Elephas maximus indicus: one gene and its partner. The protein of the gene in region 1 interacts with the protein of each later gene in a biochemical or structural test. Links are inferred from orthologs where the notes say so. Each region holds a gene or a part of one and is shown in the gene's direction. Other genes may lie near its edges. The genes, in order: PRMT5 and COPRS.

Region 1 (8,050 bases):
GCAATTCCTTACACTACAACACACCTGGAAATCAGAAGAACTGAATTCTCATTCTGTTTCTTCCATTTAATTTAAGCAAAACTTTGGTTAAGATACTTAACCTCTGTTTTCTCACCTACAAAAGAGGTATATTAATAATTCCTACCTCACAAGATTATGTCCTGATAATTAAATGAGATAATATATTTTAAGTGCCTGGAATGTGGTTGAGTCAATGTCCATTCCATGTCTCGGTAAAATTTTGTGATTTTCTTTATATAGGAAAGAGAATATATTCTTTTATATATTCCTTACATTTATATATTCTTTTATATATTCCTTATATTTTTCAGTAAAATTACAGCTAAGTACTTTATGGTGGTGGTATTGTTACCACTGCGAACAGGGAAAATACTAATCACAGTAGCTAATGTACATTGAAGGCTTACTGTGTGTAGGGTAGATTCTGAATGCTTTACTATATTAACTATTTAATCCTCATGACAGTTTTATGATGTAAGAATTATTATTTACGTTCCCATTTTACGAATGAGGAAACTGAGGTCAGAGAGGTTAGGCTCACACTGTTAGTAAATGGATGAGCAGGACTTTGACCTCTTGCCATCTGGCTCCAGGGGCCATGCTTGTAACAATCTTGTTATGGGGGATATCTTTGTTAATTATGTCTTCTAAATGGTTATTCCTAGTAGATAAGAAGAGTACAGATTTATTTTATATTTGTCTTGTATCTAGTGACTTCTCTGAATTTGTTATGAATTTTCATCATTTAAAAATTGATTCTCATGGATTTTCTAGGTATACAATCATATCATCTGCAAACAATGATAAATTTGCCTCTTCCTTTCCAAAAGTTATGACTCCTTTTTTCAAGTCTTACTATATTGGATTTTTCAGAACAATATTAAATAACTCAGTGATGAAACCAGATATTCTTGTTTTATTTCATCTTTATATAAGTTGTTGACTTTATATATCATATATATACACATATTTATATACGAAGAATATTAAGACTATTAAAAACATTTATAGAAAATGAAAATTGACTTACCATGTTCTCTTTGGTAATTATTGAAAAAAATCAAATGTTTTTCTTGGTTTCTTATTGACCTATTATATAAATAAATTCTCTAATACCTAAACTTATGTTAATCCCTGGGATAAACTCTAACTGGTTGTGGTATATAATTATTATGTTCATACATTGTTGAATTTTATTTGTTAATCTTAAATATTTTTGGAATTTTATATTTATATTCATAAGTGAGATTGGTCTGTAGTTTTTTGTTTGCTTTATATTTTGGTGCTACTTCTGACAGGTCTTTGTATTAGGTTTATTCTGGCTTCATAAATAAATTGGGTAGTTTTCTATCTTTTTTTATTTTGCAGAACAGTTTCTACTTTCATTTTGACAGATAAATACTGTATAATAGAGATGACAAGGAAGAGAATGCAAATTGGCATAGATTATTTTGCCTCAGTAACTCTGCCACTTTTGTAGCTAGAGGACAGCCTTCGTTGTGAAGAAGCAATTTGGAGCAAGTAAGAGGGTCAAACGGGCCATCATTTCCGTTTTGAATAGTGCGGCTGGCTGGGCCAGCACAGAGGTGAGTAAGGATGGATCTGGGGAGGGAGGAAAGAGCTAAGAGAGGAGGGGAGCACAAAAGAAGATGAAAGGAGGGTTTACAATGGGTGGGAGGTGTTTAAACAAGGACAAAAACCAGGATCAAGTAGGACTGGGCCTGACAGTGGGACTGCTGGAGGGCCTGGTTGGCTCAAGTCAATTCTGACACATGGCGACTCCATGACCCCATGTGTGCAGAGTAGAACTGCTCCATAGGCTTTTCAAGGCTGTGACCTTTCAGAAGCAGATGGGCAGGACTGCCTTCTGAGGCACCGCTGGATAGGTTCCAACTGCCAATCTTTCTGTTAGCAGTCGAACATTTAACTGCGCTACCAAAGGCCTGGTGGGGAGGATTATCCGGGAATGAGTACTCCTTCCCTTCCAGAAGAGTCTCCACTTTTCAGCTGGTAGCCTGTTGGTCACTTACTCCTATTTGAGAAAGTAACAGTATTTCTCACCCAGGGTATTTTCCTTTCTGTTCTACCATCTCCCTACTTCCATCCCAGCAAAAGCCTACATCCCATAGTTTTATACACACGCTTCTGAATGCAAGAGTTCAGCACGGAGAGCGAAGCAGAGAGTGATAGATGTCACCAACTTCAACTTTTTGCCTATGGCCAAGTCCTGTAGAAGGTTCTCTATTTCTTTTTCAGTCCTTCCCTTTTTGCTCCTCTAAGTTCCTATAGATAGACCCACAGTTACATGCTGCTTTTTTATGGCACAGACCAGAGCTGTAGGATAGTGGAGAGCAATGTGGTATGGAATTATGGGGAACCGCTCAGCATCATGCTTGCCACACAGCTGAGGCCGTCCTGACTGGAAAAACAAAGACAACACAGACAAATGAAATTTCTAACAACAAACTGAACTTGAAGGTCAGTCAGAAAGTCCAGGCTTTTTTTACATGAATCATTTTGAAAATTATTTTAACTGATGGCCAAACTGACATTACTGCTTCATAGATTTTTCCTCACTCTTTCTTACCCAGAGATGGGTTAGTTAACAATCAAAAGAGCAGCCACCAGCTTGACGTCAGGAGTGGGATGCCAGGAGCACAGATGGTCCACAACTCAGATAATTAGCTTCTGAAGGAAAAACAACATCTAATAAGTCTTCTGTGAATGCAGAGTTTGGCTGGGCACAGCTGGGGCACAGAATAAGCAGGCTTCCACACCTCTTTTTCTATCCCTTAGGATGTCTGCAGAACCCTCACCCACTTCCTGTGGACAACAATCTACTGTAGATGTTCCACCCTAAAGGAGGGGAGCATAACTCCTCACTCCTTAAGTACACTGCATAGTAACTTCCTTCCACAGAAAGGAAGAAAAGGAATAGATCTACAGTGGAGAAACCTGATAAACACTGCTTCAGTCAGGTCATCAAGGTCAATATCAACGGTCATAATCATGTTGGTAGTATGTACCCTTGATACGATGTGATAAAAATGGCACTTCTGTGATCTTCCTCCCCAAAACCCATAACCTCAGTCTAATCGTGGGAAAAACATCAGACAAATTCCAATAGAGAGGCATTCTAGGATACAGCTGACCAGTCCTCCTCAAAACTATCAAAGTCACCAAAAACAAGGAAAATCTGAGAAACTGTCACAGCCAAAAGAAGCCTTAAGAGATATGATGACTAAAAGTAATATATCCTGGATGGGATCCTAGAACAAAGGACATTCTGAATAAAGTATGAACTTTAATTAATAATAATATATCAATATTGGTTCATTAATTATAACAAATGTATCATACTAATAGAAGTTAAAAGTGGTGTGTGGTGTTGGGGTGGGGAAGCAGGGCTATATGAGAATTCTGCACTATCTGTTCAATTTTTCTGCAAATCTAAAACTGTTATAAAAAATTGATTAATAATAATAAAACAAACCTGCACGTATCAAATAAAGACTTAGGATGGGACAACAGTATTTCCAAACCCTCAGACCCGGTGGGGCATTTCCTTAGATCTCTGGCTTTTGGGTTTTCCTCTTTTTAAGGCACTTACATTAAATCCAGGGTTCCTCAGAGGAGAAATTATCTTATATACACCCTTTCCATGTTCTCAGGGCTCTGTCACCCACAGGCCATGGTGATCTCATTCACTGTTATGACTTCAGTCACTACCTGTCTTCTGGTGATTTCCAAATCTTGTCCGGTTCACATCACTGTTCATCCAACTCTCTATTACACAGCGCCCTCTAGACGTTCAATTCAGCACGTCCAAACCTTAATTTCCCCTTAAATTTGCACCGCTCATTTCTTGTCTCACTGAGAGGCCAGAGCCCTGGGCATCACCCCAGACTTCCCATTCTCACAGTCCCCTGCCAGTCGGTCCCTCAGTTCTGTCAATGCTTCCTGCTTAGGGCCTCTTGTGCTGTGTTCTCTCTATCCACCTCCCCTCCCTCCACCCCAGAGGTAGGGCCTTCAATACGGTTGGGCCGCCAGCTTTCAGGTGTTCCCTTTCCTATTCCTTTCTTTGCCTGATTCCTTTCCTTCTTCTCTGTCCCTATAGCAGCTGTTGACATTGGAAAGTACATAGTTTCTTTCGATCCTCGCCAGGCAGCTCCATGGCTCCCCTCTACTGTAATCTCGCATCATGAATTCTTTTTCTCTGATCTTCAGGGGTGTGTTTATTTAGCTTTTGTGTTTGAGACAGAATCACAAGGAATTAGTGGCAGAGTGATCATTGTCTATTTAAAAATGTAACATGCAACGAACAGGGACAGATCCCAATTTAAGAGCTCCAACTATATTAATTCAGTTTTCTCAGTGTACAGGTGGACACAAGAACCACCTTTGAAGGCGTAACGGGGAAAAACTGGCGGTAGAACTTAATCAAATTACGACCTGAAATCAGGGTGTGAAAAGATAACGAGAAAACACAGAAACACGAGCCTTACACCAATTACTGCATTAGGGTGTAATAAGGGAACGCCCGTCCCACCGAGCCAGCCAGGAGTCGAACCTGGAATCTTCTGATCCGTAGTCAGACGCGTTATCCATTGCGCCACTGGCCCTGAGACAAGGTGGCCCTTCTCACTGATGACACTTCAAGCTTATACTGCAGGGTTTCACGGGACGTGTAGTCTCTTGACGAAGTCTGCAAAGGCATAAAGCATTATGGGAACTTAAAGCGCGTCACGTACCAGACCCTGCGGTTGGTAGATCTTTGGGAGCCACGCCACACGTCACAGTGAAGCCCGAGGATTGGCGGGAAGAGCCCCCACCCCTCTGTCTCCTGTACGCGAGCTGTAGAAGACGCTCTGGTTGTTAAGGCGACTCGTCCCGCCTTCTGGGGGCTTTTTATAGGGTTTTTGATTGGTTGCTAGTATTAAGGAACCCCGGCGTGGACAACGCGAGGGGAAAGATGGCGGCGATGGCGGTCGGGGGTGCCGGTGGGAGCCGCGTGTCCAGCGGAAGGGACCTGAATTGTGTCCCCGAAATAGCTGATACGTTGGGGGCTGTGGCCAAACAGGGGTGAGGACCCAGACCGAACGGAACCCGGGGTCCGAACTCGCGAACCGAGAGGGGCAGATTAGTCATCCCTGAGAGGCAGGGGTGAGGGGATCGAAAAGGGTAGGATGTAGGCGGGAGAGCTCTCGACTCCAGGAGCGAGGGAAGAGAAACTTTTGGGGTGTGCGGTCACTGAGCCAAAAGTCGGGGGAATTGTTGAATAAACCCAAAAAGAGGCAGTGAAGTCGAGGTTCTTGTCTAGGAGTGAAAGTATTAGGGAGCAAGAAAGGAAAAAAGAAAGGGGAGGCATGGGCAGTATTGGGGCAGATTTAATCCTGGAAGGCCAGTGACAGCAGAGTAGAAAGTATTCTCCTTGGAATGAATTTTCACCTCTTCTTACTCGTCTGGTCCACGGCTGTTTTTGAGTCTTTCTTTTTTTGCGTGGCATACTGGTATTGAGGCACAGTGCAGCGGAATTGATATGCTCCAACGTGGGCTGAACTCAGCAGCCCAGTGGGGTGACTGATGGCAACTGAAAGGGCTCGGTGCAAACTGAGGTAGTCTAAATCCAGTTGGCTTGGACCTCTCTGGGCATTGCTGTTCTCTTTACATGATGACTCTGGGTCTGTCGTGGTTATAGGTTTGATTTCCTCTGCATGCCTGTCTTCCACCCGCGTTTCAAGAGGGAGTTCACTCAGGAACCTGCTAAGAATCGGCCTGGTCCCCAGACACGATCTGACCTACTGCTATCAGGAAGGGGTAGGGACCATCCCGTATACCCCTTAATTATCAGAGGCAGTAACAACTTCTACTTTATCAGGGTCCTCATTCTCTTCCTTTCCTGATTTGGGAGTGTTGATTAGTTCCTGTGATACAGATAATCTTATTTTCTCCGTGCTTACTTGCTAAAAGTCTTAGTTCCCTATTCTGGATCAAACTATTCTATGTCTGTGATAGAAAAAGTCCTTGTCTCTTACTCTGTATCCTGCTAAGAAAGAAATTTAGCAAGAATAAAGTGCTGAACCTTATTCTGTCTTTGTCTTTCTTGGCTGGGACTTGCAGACTGGAATACACTAATTGTCGGAAAGCTTTCTCCATGGATTCATCCAGACTCAAAAGTGGAGAAGATCCGCAGGAACTCAGAGGCGGTAAGGGTGTTTCACCTCTCCACTGGATCTTTCTAAGGATTAGATCTGAAACTGAGCTGGGTGGGGAGAGCAGTTTTTCCTCTCATAACTTGGTGAATCAGGTGTCTGATACAACAGAGTTAAAGCTATTTGGGTTGCTAGCTCTTCACCTTTTCCTCTTGATCTCTGTGTCTAGGCTATGTTACAGGAGCTGAATTTTGGGGCATATCTGGGTCTTCCAGCTTTCCTGCTGCCCCTCAATCAGGAGGATAACACTAACCTGGCCAGAGTTTTGACCAACCACATCCACACTGGCCACCACTCTTCTATGGTACGGCTGAGGGGCTCCTTTCCTACTGTATAATACGGTAGTCTGCTGCTGTAAGTGTCTTTTTATGCCTAGCCATTCAGTGGAAGGTGCACATGGCAGAATTAAAACGTCAGTATTGCCTATCTCCGAAATAAAAGTGGTATGCAGAGAGATATAAGACGTATGCAGTATATAATACTTTATGTCTAGAAACTTAGAGTTGAGATAAAGGAAAGGCAGACATTTCCATAAGGACAAACACAGGATACATGTCCTTTTGTACATGTTGTTAGGTGCTGTCGAGTTGGTTCTGACTCATGGTGACCCTATGTATAGTGACTTTAAGTACAGTGACCTTATGTACATGTACCTAATCACAGATTGGGAAAAGCATATAAAGGTATTTACTTGAGGTCTGGATCAAGATCTTTTGACGGGGGGGAAACTTTCTGGACACAGTGAGTTCTAAATAAGGTACCTGTCATGTACAGTTCTGGATGCGGGTCCCATTGGTGGCACCAGAGGACCTGCGGGATGATATCATCGAGAATGCACCAACCACACACACAGAGGAGTATAGTGGGGAGGAGAAGACATGGATGTGGTATGTCTCCTTTTGGTGCTTCTGTAAGTTAAAGGGTAGAGTGAGGGGAAGTACAGGTGGAACCTTTAGGGAAGTCTCTCCTTTGAACTTGGTGATGGGTAGGTTCTGTGCATTTGACTGTATGTTGCTGTATTTGCCCTGAACAGGTGGCACAACTTTCGGACTTTGTGTGACTACAGCAAGAGGATTGCAGTGGGTAAGTCCATGAGGTTCCTAGGGTAGGTATCCCTTCTCTGACCCTCTATGAATAGGAATCGGGAGTTTAAAGTGTCATGTGTACTTGGCTGCTGGGCAGTTTTCCTACTTTTTTTTTTTGTAAGTTTTATTGTGCTTTAATGCTTTAAGTGATAGTTTACAAATCAAGTCAGACTTACAGAAAAATTTATAAACGCCTTGCTATATACTCCTAATTTCTCTTCCCCTAATGAGACAGCACTCTCCTTCCCTCCACTCTCTTTTCATGTCCATTTGGCCAGCTTCTGACCCCCTCTACCCTCTCATCTCCCCTTTGGACAGGAGATGCCAGCATAGTCTTATGTGTCTACTTGATCCAAGAAGCTCATTTTTCACCAGTATCATTGTCTATCCCGTAGTCTAATCTAATCCCTGTCTGAAAAGTTGGCTTTGGGTATGGTTCCTGTCTTGGGCTAACAGAAGTTCTGGGGACCATGACCTCCAGGGTCATTCTAGTCTAAGTCAGACCATTAAGTCTGGTCTTTTTATGAGAATTTGTGGTCTGCATCCCACTGCTCTCCTGCTCCCTCAGGAGTTCTCTGTTGTGTACCCTGTCAGGATAGTCATCGGTTGTAGCTAGGCACTTTCTAGTTCTTCTGGACTCAGGCTAATGTAGTCTCTGCTTATGTGGCCCTTTAGTTTTGCTACTTTCCCTGTGCCCCAGTCAGCCTTGCTCTTGAGAAAAGGAGTAAACAG
Region 2 (7,619 bases), on another chromosome or scaffold:
ATTCGCACCAATTGTGGTCTGTCACCACATTACATTCGTTTGTTGGACTTGTAAGATGTACCTCTGGGCATAGGTATGTCATGTAGAATCTGGGGCTTTATATTTGAACACAAAAACACTGACATGTATAGTTACCAGCCTCATATAAAAAAAAAATTAGTTTGTACATGGTTTCACTGACCTTTTCCTGGTGAAATGAATGAAAGCTGCATTTTTGCTGCCCTCAGCAAGTTTTATTAGCAAGTTTTAAAGTTAGAGTGAATTCATTTGGGTCAGTTTCACCTTGAAAGAGACTTAGTAAAATCTTCCCTCTAAAATATTTAGTTTTTTTGACTTTAAGAAATAACATAGGCTGCCATGATTAAAGTGAAGGTTTTCGACTGTTATTTAAAATTTGTTTTGATATACCTTGGTGTAAAGAATCCGGGTGCGAAAGGTACTGTCTTATATAGGATTCTAGGGAAATAACAGCGAGAAGTTAAATTTCTTGGAAATCTTGAGTTGAATCAATACTAAATAGTTAAATTTACCTGATAAAGCCCTGCCAGTTGTCTGATCGTATGTTGACAGTAATTTTTTTGACTCTTTTCAAGATCTTTGGATGGATTACATCAAAGAGGAATTGAATCACCCTCTTGGTAGACCTGAGAACTGTGGACAGATCTATTGGCGAGCCATGAAGATGTTGCAGGGAGAATCAGCAGAGGCGTTTGTAGCTAAACATACCATGTATCAGGCTGGCCAGCTGTGAAAAGAGGAAGAACACAGCCCACTTTGTGAAAAAGTATTGTAAGCCCTCTGGGCAGACTGTCAGTTTGTAATTTGCTTAGAGATGGCTAATGGGATTTTGAGACATAATTTAATTTTGCGTTGATGTGTTAATCTTTAATTCCAAAAAAGAGAATGAACTGTTTAGTAGCAGAAAGCTACTTGTTGAGGCTGAACCTGCTTCAGGTTCTAAATGTTTTCCAAAATATATGGAAATCATACAAGTGAGTTTAATTTATTATACCCCACTCCCTGGTCAGTTAAAATGGAGGAGGAAGCCCAGTTCCGCATGTTTATTTTCTCTTTGTTATAAAAGTATATATAGTACGCATTTGTTATAGGAAATATGGGAGAAAATAAACACATCCTGTAATGCCGTCATCTGGAATTAAATTTAATAATTTGATTTCCCTTATCAGAATTGGATTGATGCTCATTCATTCATGCAAGGAATATTTGAGCTCCCACCATGTCAGGAGAGAAGGAAGGCCTTTTGGGATGGAGGTATAGGAGTTGAAGGAACAGAGCTGGGTGTCCCAAGAGCTGGTTGAAGCAGTAGAGAAGGAGATGCTGGGTACTGAGGAAAAGTTGTCCTTTAAGGAGGTTATAACATTATAAATTGTCTTCTGTCCCTGGGGCCAATGAGCAGAGAAGTGTTGGCACTGGGGAGGCCCAGGAACAGAGAAGGGCCAGGGGAGGAAGTAGATGAGAGCAGCACAGAAGGGCTTCAGAAGTGTGGTGTGAAAGGGTGGCTGGGAGGAGAAGACATTCTGGGAACAGGGGAGGAAATTATTAGAATTTTATATCCTTTAAGCAGGCCTTTGAACTGGTTCGTTCTTCTTCGAACCCCTGCTGAGAATTTGTACTTTAACCACAGATTTGCTGAATCAGAATCTATACTTTAAATAGTATTATATAATAAATTTTGAGAACCACTGCTGTACCAGTGGGGCGCTGGTGGTGGAGTGGTTAAGAGCCAGGCTACTAACCAAAAGGTCAGCAGTTTGAATCCAGCTGCTCTTTGGAAACCCTATGGGGCAGTTCTCTGTCCTGTATGGTTGCTTTGAGTCAGAATATGAGCTGGAATCATCTCCGCAGCAGCGGGTTTGGTTTTTTGGCCTGGCTTTACCAGTGGTTCTCAGAATTGGTCCCTAACCAGCAGTATTAGCCTCCTCTGGGAACTTGTTAGAGATGCACATTCTCAGCAGGGGTTCCAAGGGAATGAAGCCCTGCCTTTCCCTTCATCTCATGATGTCACTGAGAGAAGCATTCAGTGCAATTTTATGTTCATGTCCAACTTAATATTGTTATTTTTCCGTGTCATTAAATAGCCTTAAAAACATTTAATGGATTACTAACACTCCATTGTATAAATGAGCCATTACTTATTTTACTAATCTCTTGTGGTTGGACCTTGTCATTTCTAATTTTTCTGTCTTAAAACACTGTAGTAAAAGAGTCTTGTAAACCTTTATTTACATTCCTGGTTATTTCCTTAAGGAGATTAATATTTGCCAGTGGAATTACTGGATAAAAGGATATAACTAAAAGAATCTTGGTATGTGTTGTCACCTTGGTTCTTGGAAGCATTGCATTAGAGTGACAACATCTTTACCTGCACTGGCTGTTATGTTTATTTTCACCATTTGAATAGGTAAAAAGTGACATATCGTTGTTTTAATTTGCAGTTTGTTGCTACTAGTGAGGAAACCCTGGTGGCGTAGTGGTTAAGAGTTACGGCTGCTAACCAAAAGGTTGGCAGTTCGAATCCACTAGGCACTCCTTGGAAACCCTATGGGGCAGCTCTGTTCTGTCCTGTAGGGTTGCTATGAGTTGGAATCGACTTGATGGCAATGGGTTGCTATTAGTGAAGTTAATTTTTTTTTTATGTTTCTCCTGTCTTTTCATGTTCTTTGACCACTTTTTGAACTATTCTTTTTTTCTTACTAATATACAAGAAATGATTCTTTATATAAAGAGTATTAATCTTTTGTCCCTGGTTTGTTGCAAATAATTTACCCCCAGCTTTTTTTTTTAATGATGTTTTTTGACATTCAGAGGTATTTTTGGTGATTTGTATTGTTTTTAAAATACTTTGAAAGCCCTTTCCCTTGTTGAGGTCAACCGATTTCCTCTCCCCCAGCAGTTAACTAATTTTTTGTGCACCATTTATGGCCGTTACTCTTCTCTCTACTGATTTTGTGATGCTACCTTTATTATATATTAAATTTTCATGAGTATCAGAGTCTGATTTGGGCATTTTTATTTTGAGCTTTTGTGCTCTAAGTTGTTTGCTTGTCATTTGTCTTAAGAAAAATTTCCTCTTTCCCCCTCTGACTTAAGTCTTGGAAAGTGTAACATTCTACGTGGTGTTTTTATTTTGGGAGAGAGAGACTTTTTGCATGAAAGGGAAGAGAGTAAAGGGGGCTGTGGCTGGCTGGTGTCGGCAAGGCCCTGAAGGTGGGTCATGTCTACGGTTCCCACCATTGCAGGGGATGAAATGCATCTGGCTAGTTCATGGAGCGCTGCACGCTTATAGATAGTAGCCCCTAGCTATGTGTGGTGACTTAAGTTAAAATTTATTTAAAAATTCAGCTTCTCAGTCACACTGGCCACATCTCCAGTGCTTGGTAACCACGTGGCTAGTGGCCACCATGTAGTATAGCACAGGTGACAGGACATCTATTTCCACCATCGAAGAAGGTTTAGTTGGACATTGCTAACCTAGAGCCATCAGACTTGGGGACACTGACCAGGTCAGCAGAACACAGCACATTAATTGGTCACATTCATTTCCCTGTAGGAAAGGCTACAGAGAGAATAGAAACCAACACCGAATAGTAAGTGTCAACCGTTAAACTTTTTCAAATGCCTTATTTACAAACAATACACTCTTCAGGGAGGTAAGGAATAGGCTAATTTAAGTTCCCAAAAGGTGTGGTAAGGTTGCTTGGTGAGCCAAGAGTCCCAACTTCCAGCTTCTCTGATACTTAAATGTTAACATGTGGTCATCACCTTGAGCAGGTGTGTTAGTAGAGCATAGACAGTGTAGGGAGGCAGGTTTTAGAGTACTAGACTAGCCGTATCTACAGCTCAAGCCTGCCTATCATAGAGCGCCTTCTTATGACCTCGAAGGCAAAATGGGAATAACTGTGTTGTAGAGCGCCAGGCTTTCAGCATGTAAAGATAGCTGAGCAACGGGGCGGGGGTCAGACTACCCTCACATCACACGTTTAGAGCAATGACTGTCAATAACCTTGTCCAGCGCATAGCAGGAGTTGGTTGTTTTGATCAAACTGGTTAATTTTAAATACTGTCATTAATTCAGGGTGGAGTCACTGGGCTGCTGAGTTGTTTCATCCATTTGTGGGTGAGTTATATTTCATTTCCAGCCTGAATTCCGTAGGAGCCCTCCTGAAATGAGATGAAAAGTGAAATGTGGTTGGAGCTATACAATTGCACTGAAACTTTTGAGAGCTGGGGTTACTAGTCGGTAGACCCTTGGGTAATTCAATACAGAAATTCGAGCCTTTGAAACTGAAGCATTGCAGACGTAGTCAGTCGTTCAGTCCTAGGGGCTGGACTGGTGGGAGCTACAAAAATCAGCATCCCAGCCTATTTCCCATTCGGGGTCCGGGGTGGGGGCGGGGGAGGAATTTTTCGCTCCGCCTCGCCCCGCCCGCGCCCCGCCCCCGGCCTCCGCGTGACCCGGCCCCGCCCCCTCGGCCGGCCCCCGGCTGATTGGCCGTCCGCGGCGTCTCCTCGGGCTGGCAGCCAGGCCGGGGCGTCACGTGGCCGAGCAGCGTCCAGGGCGCCGAGCCGCGGGCCGCCTGGCATGGACCCTCAGGCCCCCGGGGCCCAGGCGCTGGGGGCGGCCGAGCCGCCTCGGGGCCCGCCGCCATCGAGCGCGCGGGAGGCGCCTCCCAGCCCGGGGGTGAGCGCGGCGCCGGGGCCGCTCCGGCCACCACCTGCGGCGGGTCGGGAAGTGGGGGGCGCGCCGCGCCGGGTCGGGCTGGGGCCGCGAAGCGGGGGAAGCGCCTCTGGCCCGGTGCGGGCCGCCCGCGAATGCCGAGCGCCGTTTGGGCGCGCGCTAGAGCTGGAAACGGCCGGGCCGCGGGGCCGCGGGGCCGTGGGGCTGCGGGGCCGCAGGGCCGCGGGGCTGTGGGGCTGCGGGGCCGCAGGGCCGCGGGGCTGCGGGGCTGCGGGGAAGGACCTGTGAGGGCGTAGGCGGGCGCGTCGGGTGGGGAGGGAAGGCTGCAGGCTCACGGGGACGGCTCTGCGTGCTCGGTCAGTGCGAGGTGATGCTGATGGCCGAGAGCCCCGGAAACCGGCTGCTGTGGGGGGCTTGGGCGGGGGCCAGGTGAGGGCGGCGCCGAGAGGAATGTCCTTAGGGACTCATGTCCATTGGCGGGGATGCGCAGCTAACCCTGAGCACCCGGTGAGGCCACATGCGCTCTCGTCTTTTATACCGGAACCAAAACACCCCATTTGACGCAGTGTTTTCGGAAACTTGTTTTCATTTATACACCAGACAGCTTCTGGTTTTCCAAAGACCTTTATTACAGTTACTACCTGCACAGTTGGCTGTCTGTGATCCCTGCTGGACGCTGAGCTCCTTGAGGCTAGAAGCCTTGGTTGAGTGCACAGTGCCTGCCACGTAGGTAACAGACAGACACTCCAGTATTAATTGAATGAATGAATGGAATACTTATTAAGAATCAAAGAGGGTACTTAACCAAGGTATGATGTGAAAAATACAGTGATAAAATATTTGGGAGCGCCGAATAGGATGAGAGGCATTTACCCTGGCAGAGTAGGAAGGGATGTGCCCTTCCTCTCCAAGGTGAGAGGGTGCTGGTGCCTGCAGAGGTGTTGAGACGAGAACATGCATGGCAAACGGTTTGGAGCTTGGGTCCCAGAGGGGAGAGAGAGAACTATGCTGCACAGGTTGACGGGGCTGGGGCTGAATGCCATAGCTGATTGTGTGGAGGGCTGTAGGTTTTTGATCACAGTAGTGATCACGCTAAGGCTGGGTAAGAAGGGATGGGGGAGGCAGTTAGGAGTCTCTTGCAGTAGTCTAGGTGAGAGACCTCGCAGGTGGCAGCAGTGGCCAAGGATTGTCACCACTGGGAGGGAATTGAATCATTAAATCCAGGCATGACTAGATCATGAATGCTAATACTCTGCATGCTTAGGTCTCGGGCAGGTGTCAAGTTCAGTTTACACATGGGGGGAAAAGAGAAGTGGACTCGAATTCAACAAATGTTACATTCCTGCTACATACTAGGTGTTTCCATAAATGTTAGCATGAGCCTCCTGCTTATGATGAGGTAACATCACCTCCAGTTTCTATAGAATAGAAACCCAGGCAGGATGGTTGAGGTGACATGGCCACCTGACTGGTCACTCTGAACAGCACATCTGGTATTGAAATCAGTCTTCTCTTGCAGGCTGTGAGTGTTTCTTATTCCACCTAGAAAGAAGTCTTGGAGGCCATACGATTTCAGTAACTTTTGAGTGATGGACACAGATGCTTCTGGTTGGCTGAGGGGAGAAGATTTCCAGTTAGGTCAGAAATATTTCCTTCAGTGCTCAGCAATGCAGAGGAACCAGAGCCCTGCTCCCCCGACACATCAGCCAGGAGATAGAAACCACACTACCTATTTGAACAGAGAATTTGAGAGCATCGTTAACTAGATGTAAAGTTGTTATCTAGGTACTAACTGAGAAGGTAAAAGATGAATAAGCAGGTAGCAACTACAGGAAATAGCTACCAGCACTAGGACTGAGGGAACAAAGGGGTGCGGTGGGAAAGATTAAAACGTAAAAGTGAAGCCTTGCAGAGCTGAAATTCCTGTCTCTGAGGGGACTGCCTCAACTAGTGCTCCAAGCTTGGAAGAGGGGCCTCAAGTGCTGGGGTGAGCCATGAGGCCCTTTCTGCAAGTGTTGGGAAAACCATAAACTGGATTCAACTGCTGCTGTAGAAAGGCACTCCTGCTGCTGGGGTGAAGAAGTATTGCTGGGGCGATGTTTACAGGACTAGGAAGGAGCATGTCCCTTCTCCTTCCAGCCTAGCCAAGTCTAACAGGACAAAGCAGAAAAGTAGGTTGCAGAGTTCCAGCCCGAGAATCACAAAGCAGAATTTAGATGTGTGGCTTTGGAGCTGAGGTACAGTAGCTTAATAACGGGCATACCCTAGATACCCAAATCTCCAGGTAACTGCTGCTTCTTCCTACAGATGGGCTTTGCCACATATGACCACTGCTGCCCGATGGAGAGGGAGACTGTGAAGGCCACAGGTCGACTAGGTAAGTAGACACCCAGAGACTGAGATGGATGTTGGCAGAAACCAGGGGATTGACTAGACGGGCATTCCCTATGCTTCTTGTTACCTGCTCTTTCCTGCCAGTCCTTCCCTTTGCTGCTGTCTCTGCTTACTGTTTCAACAGTGTCCTTGATGGGAGCCCAACGGAGCTTCCTTAAGGGAAGCCCTGGACTTTTCTTATACATAAACCCCTTGCTTCCACTAAGAGAAACAGCATGGAACAATGGAAAGAGTATCTTTGGAGCAGGGCAAAACTGTTTTAAATTTTAGCCCTGGGTGAGATAGTCCTGAGCTTGAGCTTCGTGGCCTTAGAAATGAGTCACTTAGCCTTTCTTCATTTTTAAATGGGGGTAAGAATACCTACCTCAGAGGGCTGCTCTGAAGATTGGGTGAAAGGATATAGAACTATGCTGCCCAATACGATAGCCATTAGCAACCAGTGCTATTTTAATTAAATGAAAAATTCAGCTCCTTGGTTGCACTAGCCAAAATTCAGGTACTCAGTAACCACATGTGGCTAGAACTA

The links.
Region 2: the proteins of PRMT5 (region 1) and COPRS form a complex in vitro, tested with the Homo sapiens proteins (3 studies listed by BioGRID, with this or other methods). The link is inferred for Elephas maximus indicus from reciprocal best matches to the Homo sapiens genes PRMT5 and COPRS.

What each region holds. Positions count from the first base shown.
Region 1 is NC_064828.1:34,276,021-34,284,070, reverse strand, and holds the start of PRMT5 (protein arginine N-methyltransferase 5), read left to right. Parts: upstream 1-4,876; 5' UTR 4,877-4,993; coding exon 4,994-5,103; intron 5,104-5,719; coding exon 5,720-5,838; intron 5,839-6,141; coding exon 6,142-6,227; intron 6,228-6,402; coding exon 6,403-6,537; intron 6,538-7,007; coding exon 7,008-7,120; intron 7,121-7,266; coding exon 7,267-7,316; intron 7,317-8,050. UniProt on the Homo sapiens protein: Arginine methyltransferase that can both catalyze the formation of omega-N monomethylarginine (MMA) and symmetrical dimethylarginine (sDMA), with a preference for the formation of MMA.
Region 2 is NC_064837.1:26,513,297-26,520,915, reverse strand, and holds the start of COPRS (coordinator of PRMT5 and differentiation stimulator), read left to right. Parts: upstream 1-4,504; 5' UTR 4,505-4,603; coding exon 4,604-4,702; intron 4,703-7,006; coding exon 7,007-7,076; intron 7,077-7,619. Other genes in the region: UTP6 (U3 small nucleolar RNA-associated protein 6 homolog), read left to right, coding at 594-751. UniProt on the Homo sapiens protein: Histone-binding protein required for histone H4 methyltransferase activity of PRMT5.